Linked DNA regions of Oryctolagus cuniculus. The protein of the gene in region 3 binds, or shares a complex with, the protein of the main gene of each other region. Links are inferred from orthologs where the notes say so. Each region holds a gene or a part of one and is shown on either strand. Other genes may lie near its edges. The genes, in order: POLR2D, ERCC3, GTF2F1, CTDP1 and GTF2E2.

The links.
Region 1: GTF2F1 (region 3) and POLR2D share a complex: the UniProt entries of both Homo sapiens proteins name them as parts of the TBP-based Pol II pre-initiation complex. The link is inferred for Oryctolagus cuniculus from reciprocal best matches to the Homo sapiens genes GTF2F1 and POLR2D.
Region 2: GTF2F1 (region 3) and ERCC3 share a complex: the UniProt entries of both Homo sapiens proteins name them as parts of the TBP-based Pol II pre-initiation complex. The link is inferred for Oryctolagus cuniculus from reciprocal best matches to the Homo sapiens genes GTF2F1 and ERCC3.
Region 4: the proteins of GTF2F1 (region 3) and CTDP1 are in contact, whole or in part, in an NMR structure (PDB 1ONV), measured with the Homo sapiens proteins. The link is inferred for Oryctolagus cuniculus from reciprocal best matches to the Homo sapiens genes GTF2F1 and CTDP1. Residues at the interface, in NP_002087.2 of Homo sapiens: Thr470, Lys471, Leu474, Gln478, Ser486, Thr489, Val490, Leu493, Ala494, Leu497, Lys498, Leu500, Asn501, Pro502, Arg504, Met511, Phe513; in NP_004706.3 of Homo sapiens: Ala946, Asp947, Met949, Ala950, Lys951, Ala952, Leu953, Glu954, Glu956, Leu957, Asp959, Leu960, Met961.
Region 5: GTF2F1 (region 3) and GTF2E2 share a complex: the UniProt entries of both Homo sapiens proteins name them as parts of the TBP-based Pol II pre-initiation complex. The link is inferred for Oryctolagus cuniculus from reciprocal best matches to the Homo sapiens genes GTF2F1 and GTF2E2.

The regions. Positions count from the first base shown.
Region 1 is NC_091434.1:121,258,672-121,262,721, reverse strand, and holds part of POLR2D (DNA-directed RNA polymerase II subunit RPB4), read right to left. Parts: intron 3,645-4,050; coding exon 3,464-3,644; intron 77-3,463; coding exon 1-76. UniProt on the Homo sapiens protein: Core component of RNA polymerase II (Pol II), a DNA-dependent RNA polymerase which synthesizes mRNA precursors and many functional non-coding RNAs using the four ribonucleoside triphosphates as substrates.
Region 2 is NC_091434.1:122,300,719-122,304,768, reverse strand, and holds part of ERCC3 (general transcription and DNA repair factor IIH helicase/translocase subunit XPB), read right to left. Parts: intron 2,900-4,050; coding exon 2,697-2,899; intron 1-2,696. UniProt on the Homo sapiens protein: ATP-dependent 3'-5' DNA helicase/translocase. Binds dsDNA rather than ssDNA, unzipping it in a translocase rather than classical helicase activity. Component of the general transcription and DNA repair factor IIH (TFIIH) core complex.
Region 3 is NC_091447.1:60,702,870-60,706,779, forward strand, and holds the end of GTF2F1 (general transcription factor IIF subunit 1), read right to left. Parts: intron 3,046-3,910; coding exon 2,861-3,045; intron 2,353-2,860; coding exon 2,199-2,352; intron 2,115-2,198; coding exon 2,053-2,114; intron 1,977-2,052; coding exon 1,857-1,976; intron 1,615-1,856; coding exon 1,541-1,614; intron 1,456-1,540; coding exon 1,317-1,455; intron 1,213-1,316; coding exon 1,095-1,212; intron 1,002-1,094; coding exon 797-1,001; 3' UTR 770-796; downstream 1-769. UniProt on the Homo sapiens protein: TFIIF is a general transcription initiation factor that binds to RNA polymerase II and helps to recruit it to the initiation complex in collaboration with TFIIB. It promotes transcription elongation.
Region 4 is NC_091441.1:431,688-435,737, forward strand, and holds part of CTDP1 (RNA polymerase II subunit A C-terminal domain phosphatase), read right to left. Parts: intron 300-4,050; coding exon 158-299; 3' UTR 1-157. UniProt on the Homo sapiens protein: Processively dephosphorylates 'Ser-2' and 'Ser-5' of the heptad repeats YSPTSPS in the C-terminal domain of the largest RNA polymerase II subunit. This promotes the activity of RNA polymerase II.
Region 5 is NC_091433.1:80,603,437-80,607,163, forward strand, and holds the end of GTF2E2 (transcription initiation factor IIE subunit beta), read right to left. Parts: intron 3,371-3,727; coding exon 3,255-3,370; intron 1,633-3,254; coding exon 1,516-1,632; 3' UTR 921-1,515; downstream 1-920. UniProt on the Homo sapiens protein: Recruits TFIIH to the initiation complex and stimulates the RNA polymerase II C-terminal domain kinase and DNA-dependent ATPase activities of TFIIH. Both TFIIH and TFIIE are required for promoter clearance by RNA polymerase.

The DNA.
Region 1 (4,050 bases), on a different chromosome or scaffold from region 3:
CTCCTCGGCAGTCTCTGGACAAAGGTTGGCTAAACAGGCCAACTCAAACTTATGAAGCTTCTTCTGGAGCAGCAAGCTGGTCATAGAGAGGAAAATCCAAACAAAACAACCCAATCAAAGAATGATCAACAAGAAAAACTGTGGGGAGCAAAGAGAAAACGTGAAGCATCTGCAACCTTCTCTTTACGGTTATGTGGGCTGCAGAATTCTACTTTCAAATTACTTCCTGTTTCTGCCTCTAAAGAACAGGAAGCTGCAGTGAACTTAGGCAGAGATGAAAGAGAGGAGACACACCAGGTAGAGGAGCACCTGCCACAACCTGTGAAAAACTACTTCATACCTCAGACGATACCACTTTTTGCCCAGAAATTTATTTTCTTGTTACTATTCTTTCTACTATACCTCTTTGACTCTTATATTACTAATTTTTAAAAAATTATTTATCGGGAGGGGCCAGCGTTGTGACACGGTGGGTTAAGCCACCACTTGTGACACAGGCATCTCATAAGGAGTACTGGGTTAAGTCCTAGGTGCTCTGTTTCTGATCTAGCTTCCTGCTAACATGCCTGGGAAGGCAGTGGAAGATGGTACAAATACTCAGGTCCCTGTAACTCAGGTAGGAGACCAGGGTTCCTGGCTCCTGGCGTTAAGCTTGGCCCAGACTTGTCTATTGTTGGCATTTGAGAGGTGAACCAGTGAATGGAAAATTTCTGTCTCTTCCTCTCTGCCCTTTTAATAAATCAATCTCAAAAAAATTTTTTTGAAGAAATTAACTTATTTGAGAGCCAGACAAAGAGAGGCATTGAACTCCTGTCCAGTGGTACACTCCTCACATGCAACAGCCAGAAGGAAGGTGGGAGCTGGGAACTCAGTGGTGACATGGTAACAGAAATCAACTACTAGGGCCATGACCTGCTGCTCTGCAGAGGGCACACTAGCAGGAAGCTGGAATTAAAAGTGGGACTGGGGGCTGGTGCTGTGGCACAGAGTGCGAGGTTGCTGCCTACAGTGCCAGTATCCTATATGGATGCCAGTTGGGAGTCCTGGCTGCTCCACTTTGGATCTAGCTTAGCTCACTGCTATGGCCTGGGAATGTGGTGGAAGATGGCCCGGTCCTTGGGTTTCTGCACCTGCATGGGAGACCTGGAGGAGGCTCCTGGCTCCTGATCAACCCAGCTCTGGCCATTGCGACCATTTGAAGAGTGAACCAGCAGATGGAAGACCTCTCTCTCTGCCTCTATGTAACTCTGCCTTTCAAATAAATGAATAAATCTTAAAAAAAAAAAAAAAAAAAAAGTGGGACTGAACTCCAATATGGAAGGCAAGTATCCCAACTAACGTCTTAACTGATAGGTCAAACGCCCACCCCTCTTAATTTTACATTAAGCACATAATGTTAGCTGTTCCCGATTTAATAGGTATTTTGACAGGGAGGAAATTCTCTTTAAAATTTATCTAAATAGGAATACAGACTACCCTATTTTGTGCATACTGGTGTATGAAACATATCTTAATTAAACATACAGAGGCCGGTGCTGTGGTATAGCAGGAAAAGCCACCACCTGCAGTGCCAGCATCCCATATAGGCACTGATTCTAGTTCCAGCTGCTCCACTTCTGATTCAGCTCTCTGCTATGGCCTGGGAGAGTAGTGGAAGATGGCCCAAGTCCCTGGGCCCCTGCACCCCCATGGGAGACCCAGGAAGAGACTCCTGGCTCCTGGCTTCAGATTGGACCAGCTCTGGCCATTGCAGCCATCTGGGGAGTGAACCAGTGGATGGAAGACCTCTCTCTCTCTCTCTCTCTCTCTCTGCCTCTGTCTCTCTGTAACTCTGCCTTTCAAATAAGTAAATAAATAAATCAGTAAACATACAAGTCCTGTTTGGAACACTGTCAGCACAAATACTGTCTTGAATGTTCATCACTCTACCTCTTTTCTCTTTTTTTTTTCTTTTAAAAACTTATTTATTTGAAAGGCAGAGTTACTGAGAGACAGATCTTCCATCTGCTGGTTCACTCCCCAAATGGTCATAACACTGGAGCTGGGCAGATCCAAACCCAGGAGCCAGGAACTTCTTCCAGGAACTTCCCACGTGGGTGCAAGGACCCAAGAAATAAGGCCATCCTCCACTGCTTTCTCAAGAGCATTAGCAGAGAGCAGGACCGAAGTGGAGCACCTGGGACTCCAACTGGTGCCCATATGGGATGCAGGTGTCCCAAGCGGCAGCTTTACCCGCTGTGCCACAGCAGTTGCCCCACCTCTGCCTCTTAAAATAGAGCTCATCTGTGGTAAATTTAGTTTCAGAAATGATCTTCAGCTTTCTGATAAGAAAAAAACCAGGGTGGAGGAGGCATTTGGCCTAGCTGTTTTTCCTATAGCCTCCTTTAAGCCCAAGCACCTCACTGTGTCTCCCAGAAAGAATGTTCTGGATCTACATTTATTACCATGCAAAGATCTCTATGATGTTTTAGGCACAAAATAAGTAAATCTGCTTAATTAAAAATCTTTAAATTCTATCAAACTGTGATTTAGGTATAAAAGATGGTGGCTCAAGATAATTTTGGCCTTATAAACAATTAAAATTTTTTGACAATGATGTTACTTTACTTATATTAAATTCACACGGGGGTTGGAGTCATGGCATAGCAGCACAAGCCACCACGTGCAATGCCCAGCATCCCATACAGATGCTGCTCTGAGTCCTGGCTGCTCCATTTCTCACTCAGCTCTCTGCTTATGTGCCTGGGAAGGCAGCGGAAGAAGGCCCAAGTGTTTGGGCGCCAGTACCCATATGGGAGACCCAGATAAAGTTCCTAGCTCCTGGCTTCAATCTTGCCCATTCCTGGCCGTTGCAGCCATTTGGGGAGTAAACCAGCAGATGGAAGACCTCTCTCTCTCTCTCTCTCTCAACCAGCAGATGGAAGACCTCTCTCTCTCTCTCTCCCTCCCTCCCTCCCTCCCTCCCTCTCTGTAACTCCACCTTTCTAGTTACAAAATAAATCTTATTTGAAAGGTGGAGTTACAGAGAGGGAGAGGCAAAGGCAGAGAGAAAGAGAGAGAATCTTCCATCCTCTGGTCCACTCCCCAAATGGCTACAACATCCTGAACTGGGCCAATTGGAAGCCAGGAGCCAGCAGCTTCTTCTGGGTCTCCCACATGGGTGCAGGAGCCCAAGCATTTGGGCCATCTTCCACTGCCTTCCCAGGCACATTAGCAGAGAGCTGGATGGGAAGTGAAGCAGCTGGAACTGAAACCGGCACCAGTATTGATGTTAGCACTGCAGGTGGAGGCTTTACCTGCTACAGCACAGCACCGGCCCCTAAATAAATCAATCTTAAAAAAAAAAAAAAAAAAAAAAAAAACAAAAACCTTCACAGATGATGTTGGGAAAAGCAAGAGTGAACAATGTTACACATGTAGATGTCCAACAAGTTGGACTAACAGACTTTCTTTTAGCACTCACCTGCGGACACTGGCAATGGTCTCTCTGTTTTTGAAACGACTGAAACGGGCTGTGTAGGTCAAAGTCTTCATGAAGACCTCCGAGAGTTCCTGTTCATCCTCTGCACTCTCGTTCTGCTGCTTGCGATGCTCCAGAAGCATATGCACCTCGGAATTTAGAAGTGTCTCAGCTGTTTCAAACTCTGTCAGAGGCACAAATGTAAGCTGAGAAGAATCCTTCAGGGGCAAGCGTTTGGCACAGCACTTAAGAAGCCACTTGGGACACCCACATCCCTTATCTGAGTGCCTATGTTCAAACCCAGGCTCCGCTCCTAATTCCAGCTTCCTACTAATGCACACCCTGGGAGGTAGTAGATGATGGATCAAGAATTTGGGTCCCAGCCACTACATGGAAGACCCAAATTGAGGTTCAGGCTCCTGGCTTCAGCCAGGTCTAGCCCTGATTGTTGCAGGCTTTTGGGGAATGAACCAGCAGATGGAAGCTCTTCCTCTCTCTGCCTTTTGGCAGGGAAGTTAAGCCACCGCTTGGGATGCCAGAAGCTCATCTCAGATTGCCAGGGATCAAAGTGCCACTTCTGTTTCCCATCC
Region 2 (4,050 bases), on a different chromosome or scaffold from region 3:
AATCAGCACTGATAAGGGATGCAGGCACTGCAGACAGCAGCTTAACCTGCTGGGCCACCAGACCAGACTCAATAAATCAATCTTCAAAAAAAGAGAAAGCAACAAGATTAAAAAAAAAAAAAAAAGGAAAAAATATTAAAAAACTGGACAAGTTGAGCAGAAGACCTATTATCTGACAAGGGATTCCAAAAAGAAAGAACAGAGAAAACATACACAAGATGATAAACAAAGAAGAAACAGAAATTCTCAGAACAGAAGGACACGAGATTCCAGATGCAGAGGGCCTGAGTGGGACAGGCATCTGGTACCGGGGTTAAGACATTGCTTGGGGGGGCCGGCGCCGTGGCTCAACAGGCTAATCCTTCTCCTTGCGGCGCCGGCACACCGGGTTCTAGTCCCGGTTGGGGCGCCGGATTCTGTCCCGGTTGCCCCTCTTCCAGGCCAGCTCTCTGCTGTGGCCTGGGAGTGCAGTGGAGGATGGCCCAAGTGCTTGGGCCCTACACCCGCATGGGAGCCCAGGAGAAGCACCTGGCTTCTGCCTTTGGATCAGCGCAGTGCATCGGCCGCAGTGCGCCAGCCGCGGCAGCCATTGGAGGGTGAACCAACGGCAAAAGGAAAACCTTTCTCTCTCTCTCACTGTCCACTCTGCCTGTCAAAAAAAAGATTCTAAAAAAAAAAGGACACTGCTTGGGATGCCTACCTGCATCTTGTATTCGAGTGCCTGGGTTTGAGTACCAGCTCCACTTCTAATTCCAGCTTCCTGCTAATGCACGCCCTCAGAGGCAACAGTTGATGGCGCCAGTACATGGGTTCTTGTTACCCACTAGGGATGCCTCGGGAATTTCCTGGCTCCTGGTTTCAGCCTGACCCAGCCCTTGATGTTGCAGGCACTTGGAGAGTGAAGAGTGGAAGTGCGCTCTTTCTCTCTCTCTCTCTCTCTCTCTCTCTCTCTCCCCCCACCTCTCCCTCTCCCTCTCCCTCCCTGCCTCTTAAGTAAAAATAAACAAAAATTTCATAGATTTTATTTTTATTATTAAAAAGGGGAAAACAAGGGGCTTCAGTACCTATCATAGTGAAAGAAAAAAGACCATCCTAGACTTAGGATTGATTGAAATCTCCAAAAAATCACCTCCTGAAAGAAGGAAAACAGACAAGCACCACTACCAGTCACAGAGAAAGAAACCAGAGAGCACCAGACTTCCAAGCAGCCTCACTGCAAGCTTCAATATTGCTTCCAAGGCCCAGTCAACTTGCTGATCAGATGCAAAGTTCTGTAAAGGCACTTGTGAACATTCAGTCTTACAAACTTTCCCTCCAGCATCCCTCCTCTCAAGAATCTAATGGGGCATGTGCTCCATCCAATGAGTGACCAAGAGAAGAGTACAGACTTGAGATGAAGAAATAGGGGCCCAGGGAATTCATGGGGTGATTTCCAAGGGAAGCCCCATGATGATAGCCAGGCCAGAGCAGAGCAGGAGGGTGGAGTGCTGGTGGGGATTCCACTGGACAGAGAAAACCAGAACTGAGGGGTTACCTGACCCTGCTCAAAGGGAATTTACGGTTACGTGAAGAGTATGGAAAGGAGGAATCATTGTATATGCAAACCTAGCAAAAGCAACCAGGGGCAGGCGTTGAACCTTGTGGTTTAGACACTGGGTTGGGACACCTGCATCCCATATCAGAGCGCCTGAGTTCAAGTCCTAGCTCTGCTTCCAATTCCAGCTTCCTGCTCATGTGCACCCTGGGAGACAGCAGGAGATGATCAAGTACTTGAGTCCCTGTCACTCACCTGGGAGTCTTAGACTGAGTTTCAGTTCCTGGCTTCAGCCTGGCCAAACCCCGGCCAAACCCCTGCTGTCTGAGGCATTTTGATAGTGAACTAGCAGATGAGGGTTCTCTGTCCAATATGGGATGCAGGCATCCCACAGTGTTAACCACCTTGCTAAAAGCCCACCCCAGAAATTCAATCTTTCTAAGCCTGTGTTTTCCTTCGTATAAAATGGGAATACCTCCTGGTATGGCTGAGATGAGGAATAAATAAAACATACGTACAGTATGCCCAGCATCCAGCTTGCTAAGGAGAAGCTGGTCTATATTCATTCACCCCTTGCTGCCCTCACAAAAAGCATCATGGCCTGTGTCCACGGAGCACTTTGCCTACTCCGACGCAGCACCTGCGGCCCGGCATCACCATCTGGGGAAGCCTCTTCCTCTTCATGTGGCAGGAACTTGGCCACAGCTAGGTTGAAGCACACGCACTGGGGTGGGGCTATGGGCTGATGAGCATGCTGGGTGTTACTGAGAAGTTCTTGGATGCCAGTCCACACCTGGGATGCTGGCCCAGCCCCCTTTGCCATCCAGCTCCTTGCCCAGACAGTATGGCCTCATCATTGCCCATAGCATTCTCCCAGCCTGAAACTCCAGAAGCCAACCTCATGCAGCTTTGGAGCCCAGATGTGAGGAAGCAGCTCTCCCAGCTACGCACAACTCTGACCCCTGCTCTCTGGGCTGGAGGGGACCAGTCCCTCTTGCCTCTCTGCTCTAACCTCCATCTCTGATCACCTGCTTCTCTGTCTTGCCTGGGTCCTGAGAGCAGTGACAGAGCTTTAGAATCCAAGAAGTTCCCAAGAGCTTCAAGGATCAAGGCAGTCGCCTTGTGTATTCTCGGTGAGGAAAACGAAGCTTTCAGGGCTTACTTGTTCAGCCGAATGGCGTACTCCTTCAGAGCAAACACGTTGTCAGCAAACACAATAATCTTGTCATTCCTCCTTTCATGAAACTTGATCAGAAACTGACAAGCCCTGAACTTGTTGGGGTTCATGGTGTACAGCAAGATTCGTTTCTTGGTTTTGATTGCCACATACTCCCGGTAAAATTCGGGTGACATTGGGCACCAAACCTGTGATGCATTAAGAATCAAGGATCATTTTACAGGTTTAAACATCACACAACTGTAAACTTTTAAAGCCCGTTCATCTTCTAAAAGCAAAACCAACGGTATATGAATTATGATTTCAACACAACAACAAGTCCATGCATGCACAAAATCAAATCTAACACTGAACTGGACACTCTCATGTGCCCATCATTTAACACCTATTTTTAAATAGTTATACCCAGGGAACTAATTTTACACCAGATACTGAACTACAGTTTTGTTTTTCTAAATGGTATTGGTTAGCAATTCTAAAATTCCTTTGTGTATATCATAGGTCCAAACTAATAAGTAAGTGAACTTTCATGGATAATGGAAGCCAAGTTTCTCACTGTCTGAGAAAGGAATTATAAACAGGGAAAGTTAGAATACAATTTGTGGGGGCCGGTGCTGGGGCGCAGTGGGTTAACGCCCTGGCCTGAAGCACCAGCATCACATATGTGCGCTGATTCTAGTCCCAGGTGCTCCTCTTCTGATCCAGCTCTCTGCTATGGCCTGGGAGAGCAGTAGAAGATGGCCCAAGTCCTTGGGCCCCTGCACCACGTGGGAGACCCGCCAAGAAGCTCCTGGCTCCTGCTTCGGACGGCACAGCTCTGGCCGTTGTGGCCAACTGGGGAGTGAACCATGGGAGGAAGACCTCTCTCTCTCTCTCTCTCTCTCTCTCTCTGCCTCTCCTCTCTCTGTGTAACTCTTTCAAATAAATAAATAAATCTTTTAAAAGAATACAATCTGTGGAGCTCGTGGTTTTTAATGTGCACAGACAGATGAGAAACGGATACAGATGTGTGTACATGCACACACACACACTTGTAGCTCCGTCTACTGAGTTAGCCTCGCCATGACATTCTGACAGTAAAGAACACACCTCTACTTTGGTATTAAAATCCCATCCTTGCTCCTTTCTTTCCCAACTGCCGAGGTACCTACCAGCATCATGACCCACACAGTAACTGCCTGGCCTAGGCAGTCCAGGAGCAACGGATGACTGTAGAGGGAACAGCCACCAATGTCCTTCACTCTGGGAAGGCAGCTGTGCCGAAGACAGCAATTTGAGAAAAACCAGCCAAAAGGTACCAGACTACACTAATATCACCTTCTATCTGGATCCAGAACAC
Region 3 (3,910 bases):
CACCCGGGCCGGGTCACCGGGAACCAGGCTCAGCAGCAGCGGCTGCAGCCAAATCCCGTTTCCGGCCATGGTATCAGCCCAGCGCTCTGACCGTCCCATCCCCCTGGCCAGAGCCCGTGGTGATGCCTGCCTGAGAAAACCACCACAGGGGCAGAAAATCGGGACCCCGGAGAGCTCCCTGGGTAGAAAGAAGCGCTCAAAAGCCCAGGCCAGCAGCGAGAGGGGGTAGGGGTCCGGCGACGGCGCTCCCTGGGCAGCTGCGGGGAGCCAAGGCCATCCCCGACGACCCTGGCGCCCTGTCCAGGCCCCGTCACAGGGGCCGCGTGGCCAGGGCGCCGGCATCCCAACCGCTCTGCCTGGGGAGGCAGCAGATGGTCTGAGGACGTGGGGTCCCCACCCATGTGGGAGACCCGGGTGGCGTTCCTGGCTCCCGGCCATTGCAGCCATTTGGGGGACGAACGAGCGGACGGCAGCTCTAACTCTGCCTTTCAAATAAACAAATCTCATTATAAATCAACAGTCCCGAAGGCCGTCTGCCCGCCTGTGAACTTCATTCAGATTGCGCAGGTGCCCACACCCGCCCGCGGGGCAGCATGGGAGACGGACCGCACAGACAGCAGCCGACAGAGCGCCGAGTCAGCACCACTCGCTCCACTAAGGACGCGCTCAGGGGTCATGGGGGTGGTGCGCGGGTGGAGATGGGCTGGCTCCCAGCACGGAGGCTGTCCCCGGCACAGCGGGACGACACGACACGACACGACACGACACGCCAGGCCAGCGCGCGTTTATTGCGGCCTCACTCCTTGAGGGAGAAGTGCATCTTGTCGCTGATGAGCTTGCGCTCGGGGTTGAGCCGCTTCAGGATCTGGGCCAGCACGTTCACCGTCTGCTCGCTGCTCAGCCCCGTCTTCTTGGTCTGGAACTTCTTCAGCAGGTCCTTGGTGGTCATGGGCTTCCGCGTCAGGTAGCGGCGCACGGCGTCCTCCGTCACCTGCACGTCCCTGCGGGGCGGCGGGCGGGCGCCTGTGAGCGGGTCCCCGCGGCCCCGCACCGCCCCCCGCCCCTGCCCGCCCCCGCCCCGCTCGCCCACGTACCCGCCGCTGGGCGTGGACTTCCCCGAGGACGGCTGGGGGGTCGACTTTCCAGACAGGTTCTGGGGCCCCGCGTCGAGCCGCAAGCGCTTGGCCGCCGGCGTCTCACTCGGCCGCTTCCCTGTGGGATGGGATGGGGTCGGGGCTGAGCCTCGGGCGGGTGGGGCCCGGGCCCAGAGAGGGCAGGTTCTGACCCAGGGCCGGGCAGAGCGGCCCGGTACCCACCTTGCTCCAGCTTGCTGGCCGCCGCCCGCAGCGTGGACGAGGCGCCGCCGCCCTCCGTGCTGGGCGTGCCGGGGCGGCTGTTGCCGCGTGAGCTGCCTCCCGACGGCTTCCGCTCCCTCTTGGGGGGGGTCTTCTTCTTCTGCGGGGGCGGGGGCAGGGTGTGAGAACGCTCACAGACGCCCCAGCCCCGGCCCACCCCGGCCCCCGCCACGCCTGCGTCTTACAGCCATGAAGAGGGCAGAGGAGGCCTCGCTGTCGATGTCGCTGTCCTCGGAGCTGTCCGACTCGTCGCTGCTGTCTGCAGGGCCGGTGGTCGGGAGTCAGGCCCAGAGCGGCGCGGGACCCCTGCGCGCCCGCCCACCGCGCACGGGGGAGGCCTGGGATGGCCCCCACCTGTCCTACACGCGAGACCCCTGCGGGCGCCCGCCCCACAGCCCACGGGGGCGGCCTGCGAGGGGCCCCACCTTTCGTGCACCCGAGACCCCTGCTCGCGCCGCCCGCCCGCCCACCGCGCACGGGGGAGGCCTGGGAGGGCCCCACCTTTCCGGCGCTTCTTCTCCTGTGGGGTGGGGGCTTTCTTCTCTTCCTCCTCCTCCCTGTCCTCCTCGGGCGGCTTCTCCTCCTCACTCTCCTCACTGCTCTCGCTCTGCTCGTCGACCCCTGGGGGAGGGGTGGCTGTGAGCAGGGGGCCGCCCAGCGCGCCCCCCCTCCCGCCCCCACCCCGGGCGCCGCCTACCCTTGGGCCCCTCCTCCGGCTGCGGCACTTTGGGCTTGCCCTCAGCCTCGTCCTGGGAGCTGCTGCAAGACACGGCGGCAGGGGTGAGTGGGCGGGTCTGCGAGCGGCGTGGGGGCTTGCGGGGGTCACCGGCCTCCCCTGCTCACCTGGAGCCGTCGGACATGTAGTCCACCTCCTGGCCCTCGAAGTCCCCGTCGTCGCTGTCCTCGAAGGCCTCGTCATCGGAGCCCTTCTTCTTCTTCTTCTTCCTGCCCGCCTTGGTCAGCGGCCCCTTCTTCTTGGCCTTGGGGGCTCTGCTGCCTGCGGGGGCGGGGGCGGGGGAGGAAGGGCTCAGGCCACGGGCCGTCCTGGGCTTCCTGGTTGACGATGCGCTGACGGGGGCCACTGCACCCACCCTCCAGACGACGAGGGCCTGCTAGGAGCGCACCGCCTCCTGGCGACCGCCCAGGCCGGGCCCACAACCCAAGCCCCCTTCCTGTGATGCACACACCCGCACACGCACCAGGCCCACGTGCTGACGAGTAGGACGGCCCCCAGAGCCCGGTGTCCACCAGGCTCATTCAAACTGGCCAACCCCGGGGCGGCCACGGGGCCCAGAGTGCCCGCATCTCACGTCCGCTTGCCTGGCCTCAAGTCCGGGCTCCGGCCCCTGCCCTCACTGCCTGCTAAGTGACTGGGTAGGTTCCTGGCTGCAGCCTGGTCCAGCCTGGGAGGAGGACGCGTTCTGCCCCTGGCTGGGCCAACAGCCAGCTACCGCTAAGCTCTCCTGGGGGCGCCCGCACCCACTCAGCCCTCGCCCCAGCCGCACCCTCCTCGCCGCTGGCCTCGCTGTCGTCCGACGACATCTCCAGGTCGTCCTCCAGGTCGTGGATGCGCAGCTCGCTGGCCTTCTTGTGGCCGCCTTTCTCCTTCTCGCCCTCGCCCTCGTCCTGGTCCTGGTCCTTGAGCCGCCGCTGCTGCATGATGCTGAAGTGGTTCAGCACCTTGTTCCTCCTGCGGGCAGAGGGGCTGCTGGGTGACGAGGGCGCCCCCAGGGACTCGGGGCGCCCTGACCCCGCCTGGGAGAGCTGCCTTACCCCTGAAGCCCTCTCCAGCCCAGCGTCCACTCACAGCGCCCCCCCCCCCCCCCCAGTCTGTCTTTGTATATCATGAACGGGAGCCTTTAACAAAAAGCTTTCCCTTTATTTCAGAGGCCGAGACAGCTGCCACCCGCTGGGTCACTCCCCAGGTGCCTGCAAGAAGCCCGGCCAAAGCCAGCAGCCCAGGACTCAATGCAGGTCTCCCACGTGGCTCCCAGCCTGCTAAGCCCTCGCCGCTGCTCCCCAGGGCGTGCATTGGCCGGAAGCCGGCATCGGGAGCCAGGGCCAGGGCTCAGAGCCAGGCGCTCCCACAGGGGCTGCGGGTGCTTTCCCCGCCCTGCGTCTTTGGGCACTCGTTCAGGGTGAGAGAGAAGCCGTGACACTCACTACCATGTGGGTGGACCTTGAAACGGGCGCAGTGGGAGACACGAGGTCAAACCTCCCCGACTGCACTCCTGGGAGGTCCCTGGGGCAGTCAGATCCAGGGACAGGAAATGGAGTAGGGGGCGCCGGGGACACCTGCAGATGCATCTGTGGCCTGTGTCACCGCAGAGGCCCCAGGGAGGCGGGGCCCAGCCCTGTGGCCACACACACGCTCCAGTTCCAGTCCCGGCTGCTCCACCTCTGATCCAGCTGCCCGCAAATGCTCCTGGGAAGGCAGCAGAGGACCCAAGGACTTGGGTCTCTGCCACCCAGGTGGCAGAGATGGTGTTCTTGGCTCCTGGCTTTGGCCTGGCCCAGCCCCAGCCACTGGGGCCATTTGAGGAGAGAACCAAAGG
Region 4 (4,050 bases), on a different chromosome or scaffold from region 3:
CTCTCACTTAAAAAAGTAGATTTTCCTGTAATTTGTAGTAAAACTTCTTAAAAACACCAATTTCTGCAAAATAATGTGTTTACATGGAGCTCTGCAAAATATGTCTTTGTGAGGAAACGGACCCGAGGGGCGGGCCCTGGCGAGGACGCGCCCCGCATCACACCAGGTCGCTGAGCTCCGCCTCCAGGGCCGCGGCCATCTCGTCCGCCTCCGAGCTGCTGCCCTCCCCGTCCGCGTCGCTCGACTCCCTGCTGGAGTCGCTGGCAGTGCCGTCCTCACTCAGCTTCCTCTTGTGGCCTCTGAGGAGAAGGAGAGTGGGGTGAGGCTCGCGCCCGGCACACGGCGGGTGGCCCAGTGCGCCGAGCTGCCTGCACCCCACGTGGGCGCTGGGTCCAGTCCGGCTGCTCCACGTCCGATCCAGCACCTGCAGATGCAGCTGGGGGGCAGTGGGAGCCGTCCAAGCGCTGGGCCCCTGCCCCTGTGTGGGCGACCCGGAGGGCTCCCGGCCGTCCTGGCCCAGCCCTGCCCCTGCCCCTGTGTGGGAGGCCTGGGGGGCTCCCGGCCGTCCTGGCCCAGCCCTGCCCCTGCCCCAACGTGGGAGGCCTGGGGGGCTCCCGGCTGTCCTGGCCCAGCCCTGCCCACTGTGGCCATCTGGGGAGTGAACCAGCGGGTGGAAGATCTCGCTCTCTCTGTAACTCTGCCTTTCAGTCACACAAATCATTTTTTTTAGAAGTCAATCTAATTTCTAGTTTTTCATTGTTCACTCCACTGACAACAACAATAAACTACACGCCACTGAGCAGTCATGCACACATGCTCACACGCACACACACACGCAGCCCAGAGCAGTCACGCACGCACACACAAACGCAGCACAGAGCTGTCACACATGCACGCACACACATGCGCACACAACGCAGCCCAGAGCAGTCACGCACGCACATACACACACGCAGCCCAGAGCAGTCACGCACACACGTGCACACACACACACACGCACACACACGCAGCCCAGCCTGGTTTTCTGATGGGACAGGAGCTCTGGGAACACCCTCACTGCTGAGCGTTTTGCACACTTCTGTGTGCAAGCAGTGTGTACCGCACAGCCCTGCCAGGCTGGGTCCTGACCCCGGGGAGCGCCCACTCCTCCCCAGGGCTCTGCCCCGGCCCAGGCTGGCCACAACCAGCACTGCAACTCGGTCACGTGTTCTGCCATCAGCTGCCCTACCCTCAGGTGACAGACTGGCCCTCATCAACACTCGCTTCCAAGATGTTTGATGACGAGAAGTGTCTTTTCTACAAGTCCTTGGTCAGATCCACGAAACCCAGCCAGCCGCTTCCTAGCTGTGCAAAACGTGAGACTTACGCACGATCCCTTCCCCCCAGCCAGAGGGAGGAGGCTGCCACTCACAAGGCAGCCCTGGCGGCCAGACCCAAGGACACCGGAGTTGCCTGGAAGGGAGTCCCTTCTCACTTGCTGCCGCGTGGCCGCAATGCAGCTCCGAAACGCAGCGGCAGGAAGTGGGCAGAAGGGGGGGGGGGCACGCTCTGAGAGCCGCTGGCCTGGCCAGGTGGAAGCAGGTCCGTGTGGGGCTTGAGGACCCGAGGGGAGGAGGCACAGGTGGAGTGAGGTGAGCACAGCAGGCGGTCAGGTGGCTCTGTGTGTGCACACGCGTGTGCACCAGGAGGGGGTGCAGGACTCAGCTCTGTCCAGTGCATCAGGGAAGACTGGAACCGGGCAGCGGCCAGCAGCCACACGCTCTCCCCTGCGTCCTAGAAGCCCACGGGTGAGGCCCCTGGGAGGTGCTCAGGCCGTATGCAGAGCAGCAGTGACCCAGAGAGGACACAGACCCAGGTCCGGGGTCTCCGCAGTGACGGCCAAGTCAGAGGAACGACTCACGCTGGACACAGGGCAGCGGCGGCTCTCAGAGTGTGGCCCCCCATCCCACCGCCACAGCCTCGCGACGTCAGCCCGCCCCCCGCCCCAGCCTCGCGACGTCAGCCCACCCACCGCCACAGCCTCGTGACGTCAGCCCGCCCCCCGCCCAGCCTCGTGGCATGTGTGACGTGCAGAAAGAGCTCGGCTGACAGCGCCTCTCCTCCTGCCTGAGTTTCGGTCAGGAAAATCGTCTCGGAAGCCAGACGTGAGCTGCAAGCCCAGGGAGAGCCAGGCTGTGACGTGACCGCCAGGGCTGCCCCATGCGCGGCACCGCGTGGAATTCACCTCATGCGTTCACACAGCTGCAAGGCCATGCACAGAGCACGTAAAGCCTGGAGAGTCATTTTAAACGGCATGCAGGAGACAGTGAGAACAGGCTTCCCCTAGGAGGTCACCGCTGTGCCCCCCCCTCCCCGGGAAGAGCCCCTCCCACAGGTCCTCATGCTGGGACGGCGAGGCTTCCCCTACGAGGTCACCACTCACCACCGCCGCCCCCCGGGGAAGAGCCCTGCCCACAGGTCCTCATGCTGGGACAGCGAGGCTTCCCCTACGAGGTCACCGCCGTGCCCCCCACCCCGGGAAGAGCCCCGCCCACAAGCTCTGCTGCTCCTGCCAGCTCCTAACTAACGCGTGAGGTCCTCACTTCTCCAGCGCTGCAGGAACAGGCCCGGGAGACCTCGCCACACTTCAGTCGCCTTCTGCCAGCCACCACCGAAGCATGAGTCCACTGGAGAGAACGCGGGCCCCCGCGGCCCTGGGCATGGCCAGGACACGAGTGGTGCGCTCAGCGCCTGGGGGCCGCGTTTCGGGCTGTGCTTCCCGTCAGGGCCGTCCTTTACCCTCGGGGTTCACTCGAAGCAGCCAGTGCCCACGCAGGGCTGACCTGAGCAGCTGTGCCGGCTCCCACCTGCCCGTGCCACCCATCGGACCTGGGGCCCAGGAACTGGTCCACCGTGAGGGGAAATGTTCAGGCGATGCCGGTGGGCGCCGCTGGGCACCACTGGGCGCCCCACCTGGCCCTGCTCCTGCTCCCCTCCCTGCCAGGGGTGTGTGCTCTCGTCTAAGAGTCACCCTCCTCCAGGACACCTGTGGGCTTAGGGAACCACGTCCGCTGTGGTCAGCACCGAGCTCGCGTGCAGGGCCCAGGCCCCTCACGACGCTGAGGACAAGGGAAGGACCCCGAAGTCTCCCGAGACAGAGGCCAGCACCCACAGCACCGGACACTGCAGGAGAGCGACGTGACAGCCCCTGCCGAGGGCCACACATCCCACCAAGCGTCAGACGAGCACACACGAGGAACACGTGGTCTGCCCGCAGCCGGGGACTCAGATGGGCAAAGCGGAGGAAATGAGCAAGTGCAGATACGTAATGCATGCCCAGGGAAGCAGAAAGATGCGTAAGGAATGAACTCGCGCCGGCCTGCGCGACCCCGAGACGGCCCCGTCACACACACGCAGACCACAGCGTGGCTGCAGGGACAGGCGGCTGCGGGGCTGTTTGCCTGTCGGTGACGTCCGCGTGGCAGTGTGATCTGACAAGTGGACTCGCTCCCACCTCACTGCACGGCAGCAGGAGGGAGGTCCCAGCACAGGCGCAGTGGGAATCCACAGGCTGCCCCGGACAGACAGCTCACATCAGGGGCTAACCGTGTGCGACTTCTACTAAAACAAGGAAATCTCAATTTACTAAGATGTCTACACTAAAAAAAAAGTCAACCACGAAGTACAAAAACAAGACAAGGGGACCGGTTAGGCCTTGGGCTAGGACAGAGTTCTGAGCGACAGAGCGGGCTGCACGGCAGGCACACCGGCCTCACGACAGACGACAGGTGATAACAGAGAAGGAGGCCCAAACCACAGCACCAGCGCGGGTCTGACCAGCACCCACACGCAGATGACACCTGCGATGTGCTCTCTGAAGGGGACACAGGACGCCGAACGCTCCCCCCAGGCCTGTGAGGATCATGGTGTCCGTGTCTGAGGTTGGGGGCTCTCACCAGGGTCTCCGCAGGACACCTGGTCAGCCCAGATTCACACAGGCACAGGGGAGCTGCCCAGGTCCTGAAATCACAGAAACCCCACTGCCACGGACGCGATGTTCCGGAAGCCTGC
Region 5 (3,727 bases), on a different chromosome or scaffold from region 3:
TTGCCCAGCTCAGCTTCTCAGTGGATGGAAGCATGTGTTCACACACTCAGTCTCCCCCAAATAATAAAAAATTTTAAAAACTTTTTTTTAAAGTAGGCATCTGATGATATACCAGCTTTTTTCTTTTTTTGAGGAAAACTCACTTTTATGCCATAATATATTATAATATATTAGAGCTCCTTACTAACAAAAAACTTCTGGAATACAGCAAGAGATGTTGAATTTCCTTTGTTCTAAATTAACATAAGCACCTCAGTTTTACAACATCTCCTGCCATGGTTTGGGACTGGGCAATAGGAAGCAGGTAAATCAGATAGATGACACTGTAAACAGGTAAGAACTAAGACAGCAAAACAAGGTTCCTTGTCTGCACAAAGCACCTACCATCACACCACCTTTTTTAACAGAGAAAAAAAGGAAGCCCATCTGCTATTTTATTCCCTAAATCCCTACAATGGCCAGGCAGGGCCAGGTCAAAGCCAGGAGCTGAGAACTCACTCTAAGTCCCATGTGAGCTGGCACAAACCCAACATCCTTAGGCCACTACATCACTGACTCTCAGGGTCTGCACTGACAGGAAGCTGGAGCCAGGAACTGAACCCAATACTCCAATATGCAGTGTAGGCACCCCAAAGGGAATCTTAACTACTTTCTGAAACATGAGATTTTGTCTTTACACTTCACTACAACTTAGTCTGTGACATGGGATCTGAGATAATCAATGAAAAGATCTCAGCAAATCATCTGAAAATGGTTTGCCACAGAAGGCAGGAACGATCCCATCAATTTCCTGTAAGTCACCCTAACTCCTGAGAACCCATACAGCCTTGATATTGCTCACAAGCGGGGAAGTGCCAGGGGAACAGGGGGCTCTCCACCAGAAGAAAGAGGCTAAACTTTTAAAAGAAAACATGAACAAGGACATTTAGTGCATCTTTATTGCTTAACTTGCTACAGGAGAAACACCTTGTGTTCTGACTATGAGACCCACATGCTCAGCACACAGTGCAGAGTTCCATCTTCACAAACCCCAGACAGGCGCCCTGGAAGCCAGGCCGGCACTGCTGCCTGCCATTTCCAGAAATCAAAGGAAACAAGCTGAATTCACTAACATCTTTAAAATCCTTCTACAATTATTTTATTATAAATATGTTCTTTCGGAATAAACAAATATCGCATTCAAGACTACCTGTCAATCTGCTCTAAAGTAATAAACAAGGGAAAATGGAACCAGGAACCTTGTAGAAGCAGACAAACAGCAAAGACACCTGCATGCCACGCACAGTGCCTTCCCCCTAAAACGTAACTGGAGGTTACAGGGAACATCACATTTCTCGTTAGCCTGCCCAGTGAGCTTGAGTGTGAGGCTGGTAATTTGCACCTGTTCTGTAAACTGAGCTGCTCCTCTCCTCAGCCCTAGGAAGCAGAATGGAGGACAGTGAGTCTTCGGAGCCCAAGCATTGACCAGAACAACCTTGATGTGTATCGGTCCTCTGTTCAAGGACAAACCTGTCCCTATTTGCCAGGAGTAATGTCAGAGTAATCCTTCAGCACGCCGGCCAAGTGCTCATTATGAGTCTTAAATCGTCGCTTTTTCTGCGAAGCAGGCTTTTTCCTTCTCTGAATGGGTGCCTAAAGGAAAAGGTAAGAATAGTTAGAAACAAGCAGCTACTCCAAAGGGTACGATGGTCAGGGTTTCCTAAGCATAGAACCCAACAGCAGAGGAGGAAGGGTCTGGAACTTTCTCCCTGCCCTGGAGCCCAGCATCCCATATGCCAATGCACAGCCCACAACCCAACCTGAGCCAGACCCGGGATTTTTGTTCAAGAGATGCGATGCAAACCTCCCTAGGAATGAGCAGGCTGGCACAAAAACCTTCCTGCAGGCACCAAGTCAGTAAGAGAGAGTCAGTGAAACTGTCATTTGTCTGTTATCGGGCTTACAAATAAATCCACTATCACCACTTAAAAAAAAATCAAATATGATAAGATCCTGATATGGCAAACTTGGGTGATGGGTGGACACACAAGGGCTTTTAATGTTATTCTCCATTCTTTTCTGTATATTAGAAACGTTAACATCAATCACATAATAAAAAGAAATCAACAGCCAGCCCAGCAAAATGGCGCCATCCGCGTTACTGTGCCCTCTCTCATGGCTGCTGGCCCCGCCACGCTCCCCAGCATTCTTCAGCATGGTCAAAATTCTACGTGCAGGAGGGGCCAAATGACAAACCTGACCGGTTGAACACTGGGCTGCCCTTGGGCACCACCGTGTTCCTGTGGATCTACCTCATCAATGTTAACAAAGTTTTTTTTTTTTAGTATAGAAAAAAAAATGGATTGGAATAAACTTTTTAAATTCCAGTATCAGAGTATACTGCATATGGTGTTTAGCTTTTCCTCTCGATTATTCTGTTGAATTGTTAATGTGAGAGAAAAAATTATATATGAATATGTCAAGTCAGCATTAGTGTTCTGCATCATTAAATGAAAAAAAAATTGTTAAGTCCACAAATTAAGCAGTGATCGGAACTCATGAAGGGCTGCAATGACACTGCTTCTTGGAGAAATTACCGGCAGTCAATCTTCCATTTCTGAGTTCTGAATGCTCACTGAATAACACACACCCCACAAAGCCACAGACAAGCTACAAAGTACGATGGGGGCCTAGGGCCTGAGGAGAGAGGCAGAGTAGCCACAGTCAAGGGTGCTGGTGGGTTATTCTCCAAGCTGGCTTTGTTCCTGGACTACATAGAGCCTGCAGTTAGCTGGCACAAGACGATTTTCGAGTTGTCATTTGGTTACTAAGGTCTCTGATGAGCAGGACTTAGGCGCTATAAAGACCAAAATATGATTCCCGAGAGACTCAAAGATCAACAGGGACAATTCAGTGTGATCAAGGCCATGACAGAGCCGGGAACCAAGACCATGAGGCTCAGGGAGCAAGGGGGAGGGGAGCACAACTGAGGTCTTGAAGCCCAAGCAGATGAAGAGCAGGCTCCTCACAGAAGGCAGGGGACGCGTGCTGAGGGTAGGAGGGGAAACAGTGGACGATGCTGGGGCCTACAAACAGCAGGGGATGCTGCAGGGAGGCCGGGCCTGAGGGGCAGCAGCCAGGGGCATGTCCACGGGTCTGCAAGGCAGACATGTGCTGAATGGCATCTGAGCAAATCGCAGGACAGAGACAACTACAGGAAGCAGGGTAACAATGCAGAGGAGGAAGGTTGGATGGCTTTTCCAGAGATTACACACCACTTTCTTTGGTCCAGATTCCTGCATGGAAGAAATACCCTGTCGCTTCAGATATTCTTCAATTTTCTCCTCATCCATTGAATCCACAGTGACACTCCTCCAGAGTTTCTGAAATTCTGTACCAACAAGAGAATAGTTATTTTACAATCCATTTTTACAAATGATTACATTGAAGTGATCAAAATCCAGGCTTCATTATTATCTCTTTTGGGTCTAAATTAGCACATCTGAGATTTCATTAGAAAAACAAAGAGGCAAGGCAAGAACATTCCAGAGCTGGACACTGAGCAGCAGAAGGGCCTGGGAACAGAGCAGCACCAGCGCAGACCACGTCATTGCCATCTATTTTTAGAGGCCAGTAAGGGAGGGCGATGTGCCTGAGGCCTCCCTGCTTTCCTGGGGAGGAAAGGCAGTCAGCACTCTCCTTTTATTCTTTTCCTTTTGGGCAAACAGTTCAGTTCAACTGAGCTCAG